Linked DNA regions of Oryzias latipes. The protein of the gene in region 2 purifies or fractionates together with the protein of the main gene of each other region. This does not show direct contact. Links are inferred from orthologs where the notes say so. Each region holds a gene or a part of one and is shown on either strand. Other genes may lie near its edges.

Region 1 (4,011 bases), on a different chromosome or scaffold from region 2:
TGGATGAATAATCTCCAGTTTGACTGTAGATGCTGAGAAGAGAAAGCTAAAGCCTTAGTCCCAACTGCTCTTAGGGGTGGGCACGGGCTGTCTGCAGATGAAAAAGGGCCAAATCTGTATGAGACAAGCAGGCGGCCCGCACGAAATTTCAAGATTGTAGACCACTCAGTGAATGTTCATGCTCAGTTTTTCTACGGGCTGGTGCGGGCGGCAGGTCGTCAGGTACTTTAACAACACACAACGGCAGGCACAGGTGAAGTATGTAAGACACAGGCATTTCATGTTGATTTTTCATTTTTTCCGCCCCCCTGAGCAAGAACACCCATACCTCATCAGTTTGTAACTTCCATTATCCTAACAAATACTTCACCATGTACTTACGAAATGCAAAACAATAACCTTTAAGGTGGTTGTGCAAGCCTCAAGGGAACTACAAGACATCTTAAGGAGCAGCCACTCCTCTCTACGACTCTTGACGGGCCAGAAAACCCAAAAACTGTAGACTTTAGACGGCTCGTAGACTGGATCAGGTCTGTGTGCGATTGGAAGAATTTCTGACCAATCGGCATCAAACTTTATGCCCATGTCTGTGATTAACTGGCTTTTGTGACACATAGAGAATTGTTTTGATTGGACATATTTTTAGGTTTCAAGAGTAAAACTGTTTTGTTTGCACTTATTTTTGAGTCTCAAGTGCATTTTTATGTTTCAAGTGCAAAATATTTTTGAGCACACAAAATATTTCAAGTATTTCAAGTACGCTTGGAATAATGGGACACATAAATCACTCCATAGACGAGGACAAGGCCAGAGCAGAGGACCAAGTGGTGTAAGTAAAAAAAAAAGGGCTTTGTGGCTTTGAGGGAGGAGTTGAAGAAGCAGAGGTGAAGAACAAATTTAAATAAGGTTCAACAGTGCAAAGCAAAGTCCAGATAAAGGAGATTTTCACGTGCCTGAAGCATGAATTGAGTGTGAAGTGGGGCTGTGCGACTCTGAGTCTGTCAGAAGGAAGAGGCTCAAACTGGGGTAGAAGGTTGCAGAGTCTTGTACTAAAATGATCTCCTGGTGGCATGGCTAGACTACCACAGACAGAACTGGCAATCCACATATCATGTGTTGATGCCCTGCCCCAAAGACGCAAAACAAAAGAACAAGGACAAAGAAACTTAAAGTGGGGCGCAGGGGCGGAGCCCAACCTTGCCCCGCCCAGCCCACGTAGCCCCTCCCACTCAGCGACGCCGTGCAGATGTTCTCCATCCAGCTCTTGTCTTTCTGTTAACGCGAATTGAGCCTCACCTGTGGAGCTAAAGGAGCTTGTAGCATGGCGTACACGGTTGCAGGTGGAACTAAGAAGAAGGTCTGCTACTACTACGACGGTAAGAGCTGCTGTGTGGCGCACGAGCCAGGCTAACGCTAGCTGTTAGCATCGAGCATGTGCTAGCATCGGTCAGTTACGGTCGGAACTCATTTCTCCGGGGCTAAAGTCTTTTCTGCTTCATTGAAACGGTGTAAAGCCAACATCTGAGGGGGGCACTGTACGTTAAGTAGCCGGCGCCTCACGTCTGTCTCCACCCCTCGTTGTGTGAGTTACGGCTACGTACGTCAGTCTTGTTTGAGACCCAGGCAGTTCAGCCGGCGTTCTGTTGTGATCTTTCAAGATCCCACCGAGGAGAACCCACATCCGGGAACGTATGAGGAGAAAAGCTTTTAACGTCTTTAACGAGGTTGCCGTCCCACAATGCAACCATCCACAGAACACACGACTGGCAGCCTCTACTGCTTCCAGACGAGCACGCGCGGCCTGGCTCACCTACACGTCACGTGACCGTCTGCAGAAGCCCCGGGTGGCTCTAAACCTGCGTTCAGGTCCAAACACAAGCGTGTCCGATCGCTTTAAGTTATTATTTTTTTTTAAATCAAAAACCTGTGTTGTTTTCTGGGACATAGTTTCTGCAGAGCATTAACCTCTGAGTTGTGGGTGGGACTGTTGATGCAGAGCACCCCCCCCCCCCCCCCCCGTTTACACTCTACTCTACCACTAGCTTACAGCCCCTCACAACCCCATCCTCACATTAGCAGTGCAACAAAAAAGATGGCCAATATCAGATCTATCCCGATTCCAGCTCAGACGAGGAAAACAAAGACGTTCATGGATCCATTAGTCTGCAGGTGGATGCCTTAAGGCCCGTACACACCGGGACGAATATTCGCCAGGCGTTATTCGCCAGCGTTTTTCGCCACGTTTTTTGTGTTCACACCCAGGCGATTTTCGCTGACGATGAGTGGAGTGAACATGCAATTTCATTCCCTGACATTAGATGGCGCTTAATGTAAAACTGAAATACTCCTGTACACAAGGTGGCGCTGCGCAACTTTACGCTTCTTAAAGTCGCTTTTCACTCAGAAGAAGAGAGCAAGTTTTTACACGCTTGTCAGAATCAAACAAAGAAAACATGAATATTTCAAGCACCAGTAGCTCCAACTGGTGCTTGGTTCGGGGATGTTTTAGAATGTCCGTCATTATTGCTTCGCGGCTGTGTAGACGCTACTTGGCGTCTATCTTCTTCGCTGGTATGTGTGCTCAGCAAGGCAGTTTTGTGTTTGAGCGCCCCCAAGTTGTGTTTTACTGTAACTTCAGAAGCTCCAGACACGTGAGCAAAAGCGCCGTTCTCATTGGTCGAGTAGATTTCGTCGGAAAAAAAAAACGAACCCGAGGCGTTTTTTTTTGGACGCTTTAACGCCTGGCGTTTTTTCGCGTCGATGTGCACACTCTCGTTGGTGCCCTTTGTTTAGTCACGAGGCGTTAAACGTCGGCGAAAATCGCCGGCGAAATTCGTCCCGGTGTGAACAGGCCTTTAGAGTGGAACAGAACAGGGAGCTTGGGGCTTGCTTATAGCTATTCCCAACTGCATATTTTTTATCCGCTCCTGACTCACAACAGTTTGAACAAAGAAATACTCGGAAATTCAATTTTCTGTTTAATTTTCTTCATATTCAGAATAATGCTGCCAGAACGTGTTAAAAACACCATGTTCATTTAAGCAATTCACTTCACCTTTTTCTGCGGTCACATTTAGCTTAGAGCAGTCCCACGTGCACTAATGACGTGCACATCACTTTGAAATGACTAGATTACTGATGCAGATGTAGATCTTCGTGAACATAAGTGTCATAAAAGTTCAGCCCATTAGAACTGGCACTTGTTTAGAGCGGTTTCATATTTTAATAATCTGACTGAAATCATAATGTAAAGAATAAACTGACATTATGAGATGTCAGAGTACATTTTGGTTGGGAGGGTCCAGTTTGTTGGACAGGGATCAGTCCCGTTTTCTGTCTGCTGTAAACTGTTCCTGGTTTGTTTACTGAGCAGTAATAAATAACGGTGAGGATGTGAGTCATCGTTCTGAAGCTTCGGTTGTTCCACAGATCAGTGCTCTGAGTTGTCTTCCTCTGTCGTTTGCTGCTCATGTTCTCTGTTGGAACAACACAGATGCCAACAGTTGAATCAGAAAAGCTGGTGGAGCTAATGTTGGCAATCTGCATCATTGATTTTGTGTTTTTCTTGTGTCTAGGTGATGTTGGAAACTACTATTATGGACAAGGACACCCCATGAAGCCACATCGGATCCGCATGACTCACAACCTCCTCCTGAACTATGGCCTCTACAGAAAAATGGAGATCTATGTATGTTTTCCTGTGCTCTGTTGCTGTGAGGAGCGTGTCTCCATGTGACCTGATCCTCAGCAGACTTCAGACATTAGGAAACGTCGATTTAGCTTGGCGGTTTGCTCTTAGTTCTGTGTTCGCTCCTGCTTTCATTCAGTTCTGGTTTCTTCCCTTCCACCTTTCTCCTGGTTTCAGAGGCCACACAAAGCCACCGCAGACGAGATGACCAAATACCACAGTGACGACTACATCAAGTTCCTCAGATCCATACGGCCAGACAACATGTCCGAGTTCAGCAAGCAGATGCAGCGCTGTGAGTGGGCTCTGTTGACGTTCAGACA
Region 2 (4,143 bases):
GGTGTATATAATTTTTACTTGTTTATAGTGCTGTTATTTGCTATGTTGTTCTTGCCCTCTTCTGCTTTTTGTTTAAGAGGATGTTTTCCCATTATCGGTTCCTTCCAACAATATAAACTTCTTTCCTCATTTTGTCACAGCCCGTAATCTGTTACATAGAAAGTTGTCAATCAAATCGGCCAATACTATTATTAAATCATTTTAAAACGCAATAAATCGATATGTAATTATTTCACTTTATTTATTTTCTTAATTTATTCATTTTCTTTTGTTGTAGTTGTTGTTTTTCAATTTTCAATTGTTTTTGTTCCTGAACAGTTCTTTGTTTTTGGTGTGAACTTCATTACTTATTTCTGTATTTTGAAAAAAAAAAAAAAAAAGTTTTTACATGTTTTTTACAGTTGATTACATGTTTTGCAGACCACATGTTTTATACACTTTTGCAGCTGTATTTATTTAATATTTATTTATTTAATAAGAATCTCATTTTTGATAATAATTTTCCTAATAATTGTAATAATAATTTTAACTATTTAATATGAATGTCATTTGTGATGTCCTTTTTTGATGTTATATTATATAGATTATTTCTGAATGTCGTTTTTGCTGCCACAGATAAATGAAATTTCCCCATTGTTGGATTAATAAAGTTATCTATCTATCTATCTATCTATCTATCTATCTATCTATCTATCTATCTATCTATCTATCTATCTATCTATCTATCTATCTATCTATCTATCTATCTATCTATCTATCTATCTATCTATCTATCTATCTATCTATCTATCTATCTATCTATCTATCTAGTAAAAGCTAGATATGATGTCAGCAAAAACTGATCAGTCAGTCATTCCAGTCTATTGTATGGAAACACTTATAAATTTAGCAAAGACATGTGACCATACAGTATGGTAGAATGTTATAATAATAGTCCCTTTGTATTATTTTAATTTGGAAAAAACAAAAGTGGGCTAAACTTTAGAAAACTAAAATGTGAATGGATTTTTCATAAATTCTTGTTTACTTGTTTGTTTGCACACAAATTTATTTACACTCTATTAGCTTGCAAGAAATTCAAGGAACCTGGAAAACTTCATTTGCACTGTCCGGTACCCAGGTATTTCTCTCTGAGTGACACTGGTACAAGTTTTAGCTTTCCTGGATCCATTTTAGGTCAGTGAATCGGATCACTGCAGCAACTAAAAATGTCATGAATTACATTTTTGTAAAAGTAAATCGTTACACCCCTACTAGACAGCAAATTGTGGAAAAACTGGATTTAAGTTAATCAAAGCTCTGTAAAATGTTTGCAGCATAAATTAAATCTACTTGTAAATTTTTATTTTGGACGAAAAATAGTTTTTAAAATGCAGTTTTTATTCAGTTTCACAAGCACTATAACTAAAAAGTTAGACAAATCGGACTGTGCTTCACACGTGTCCACTAGGTGGCGGTAGCGCAAAAATTAGACGGTTAACCGACCGAACCTAAATTGCAGACAAAGAGCGAAGCTAATATCCGGTAAAAACAATAGTTGAGCGACTACGTTTAATTGCTACAATGGATGGCAGTTATTTTGGACAAATGTTTGCAATTGATCTCTCGGAAGACCAGACATTTTGTGACATCTGCTGAACAAAGATTAGTGAGTAGTTGTTAGCATTTTTAGGGTGAATCGAGCATCTTCCTCTAGTTTCCTTCGTACTACGTCGGCGTCGTTTTCCTGAAAAAAAAAAAAATGCCGCTTGGTTTGAAACCGTGTTGTGCTGCGTGTAAGACGAACTCTTCCTCCATGTGGAAAAAGGGAAGCCAAGGGGAGATCCTGTGCAATAACTGCACGGGGAAGAGCAGCAGCGCCACGGCGGCAGGACCTTCCATGTCATTCAGCGCTCAGCCCAGTAATGGCGGAGGGAAGCAGGTCAGTCAGTCAAAGGAGGACTCAAACTCCCAGCAACTTCTCCTTTGCTCAGCATCAAACCACGTCTGTTTCTTTGTAGTCCAAGCAGGAGATACACCGGAGGTCTGCGCGGCTGAGAAGTACCAAATACAAAGCTCCTGCTTCTGAGAAGAAAGTGTCAACAAAAGGAAAAGGAAGGAGACATATTTTCAAACTAAAAAATGTCAGTTAAAAAAAATAACCAAAAATCATTCTTCCTGTCATCTTTTATTTTAACCTGTAAACTCTTCCCCACAGCCAATCAAAGCTCCTGAATCTGTAGCAACGATCGTCACTTCAGAATCTGTATTTTATAAGGTATTGTGATTATTATTCCAATCATTTGTTTGTCCGTGTTATACTGTTGGTCTGCAACCTGTGGCTCCGGGGCCACAGGTTGCTCTTTTACCCCTCCACTGTGGCTCTCTGATTAAAGAAAAATAACGTTGTGATTTTAAAATATAACTGTAATGTAAAAAATAATTATAAATAAGTAGGAAAGTAAACTTACACAAACTTTATTCAACTCATCCACAAACAGTTGAAGGACAGTACATATCAAAAACATTTTTGACAGTTTTTTTTAGCGCAGTGTACTGCAGAAAATCAATTGGAGGTCAGTAAGCACAATTAGGGAGGATTTTTGAACAAATTGAATGATTTTAAATTTGTTTACGTTTGAAAAATATGGTAAGGTTCACTTAATTAGCTCTGATTTAATTATGGTTGGTTAGGATTTACACATTTATGGCTGAGATTCACCACAAGCGATAAAATAATGTGTTGTTTTTGTTTTGTTTTTTATCACTGCTAACAATACGCCAATACCCTTATTGCATTGAGATGATTCTATATGACACCGGCTGTCTTTTATTTTGAAAGGAATTCATGTGAACTTCTGTCAAAAGTTTAAACTGTTTCATTTGTTTTAAAAAGGCTATTTTATCTTTGTTTGTTTGATTTCTGCCCAAAAAAGCAACAGTTCATTTATATTTATCATAATAATAATAATGACATCAATAAATATTTTTAAGGGTGAAGTGAGATTTTGTGGATTCTGTTGGGTTCAGTGAGAAATCGACCCAAATGGCACTTTTAGCGTTGAAGGTTGCATGCCGACTACTGTCTATGTTTTTGTTTCTTTTAACATCTCTTCACAAATACAGGGGGTTTACTACCAGACAGGTGATGTGATCAAGGTGATAGATGAGGATGACGGGAAGCCCTACTATGCTCAGATTCGAGGATTTGTGCAGGACCAGTACTGCGAAAAAAGTGCAGCACTAACGTGGCTCATTCCCACCCAGGCCAGCCCAAAGGACAGGTTTGATCCTGGGACTTACATTGTCGGTGAGAACTCCTACAGAATAACATATTTCTTAAGTGATTTTCTGGTCTTGGGTTAAGCATCATGTGTTGTTTTCCAGGTCCAGAGGAAGATCTGCCCAGAAAGATGGAGTACCTTGAGTTTGTGTGCCATGCACCCTCTGAGTATTTCAAGTCCCAGAGCTCCCCGTTTCCCACTATCCCCATATGTCCTGAAAAAGGCTACATTTGGACCCATATAGGACCTTCACCAGCATTCACTGTCAAAGAGTCTATCAGCACCACCAGTTAACAAACAGTATTGGTAAAATAATTGTAATTATGCAGAGTATGTACATGTTTGTATTTGTAAATAAAACCAACTTTTGTTTTTCATTTCTCATCTCACGACTTTAATTCTTTAAAAACATAACAAAATAACAAAAAGACTATTTGAAATTTCTTGATTTTCTAAGTTGCAGGAGGAAAGTAGACCCTCCCCCTCACAGGGAGGTTTTTGACTTTATCAGCACTTTTGGGCTTTTATGGTTTCTAGCTTTTATTTTCACTCAAAAAAAACCTTTTTATAAAATTTCTGAGCCTTTTAGGAAACATGTCTAATATTTTTTCATAGTTCTGATAACACTAAGGTCATGAGCCACGGCTCCTGAGCTACTTCTGAGCTTTAAGATGCCAACATTGTTGCATATCTTTTAATAAAAAATGTTAACTTATAAACAATAAAATCTGCACAGTAAAACAAAATGTTGCCCTATCGGTGTGAAATAGCTGTAAAGAAGACTAAAGCTAAATTATTTAGAATTTTTTTTTTTTATTAGCTGACATTTTCAGTTAGTGAGGTTTCCACATACGGAATTTGCAAAAAAATAAGTTCTGTC

The links.
Region 1: the proteins of gatad1 (region 2) and hdac2 purify together in Homo sapiens (affinity purification with mass spectrometry; 4 studies listed by BioGRID and IntAct, with this or other methods). This does not show direct contact. The link is inferred for Oryzias latipes from reciprocal best matches to the Homo sapiens genes GATAD1 and HDAC2.

Annotation. Positions count from the first base shown.
Region 1 is NC_019882.2:21,614,241-21,618,251, forward strand, and holds the start of hdac2 (histone deacetylase 2), read left to right. Parts: upstream 1-1,201; 5' UTR 1,202-1,321; coding exon 1,322-1,376; intron 1,377-3,575; coding exon 3,576-3,688; intron 3,689-3,865; coding exon 3,866-3,983; intron 3,984-4,011. UniProt on the Homo sapiens protein: Histone deacetylase that catalyzes the deacetylation of lysine residues on the N-terminal part of the core histones (H2A, H2B, H3 and H4).
Region 2 is NC_019869.2:23,121,624-23,125,766, reverse strand, and holds gatad1 (GATA zinc finger domain-containing protein 1), read left to right. Parts: upstream 1-1,470; 5' UTR 1,471-1,567; coding exon 1,568-1,648; exon of another isoform or gene 1,649-1,741; coding exon of another isoform or gene 1,742-1,807; coding exon 1,808-1,921; intron 1,922-2,000; coding exon 2,001-2,123; intron 2,124-2,197; coding exon 2,198-2,257; intron 2,258-3,105; coding exon 3,106-3,289; intron 3,290-3,366; coding exon 3,367-3,557; 3' UTR 3,558-3,641; downstream 3,642-4,143. UniProt on the Homo sapiens protein: Component of some chromatin complex recruited to chromatin sites methylated 'Lys-4' of histone H3 (H3K4me), with a preference for trimethylated form (H3K4me3).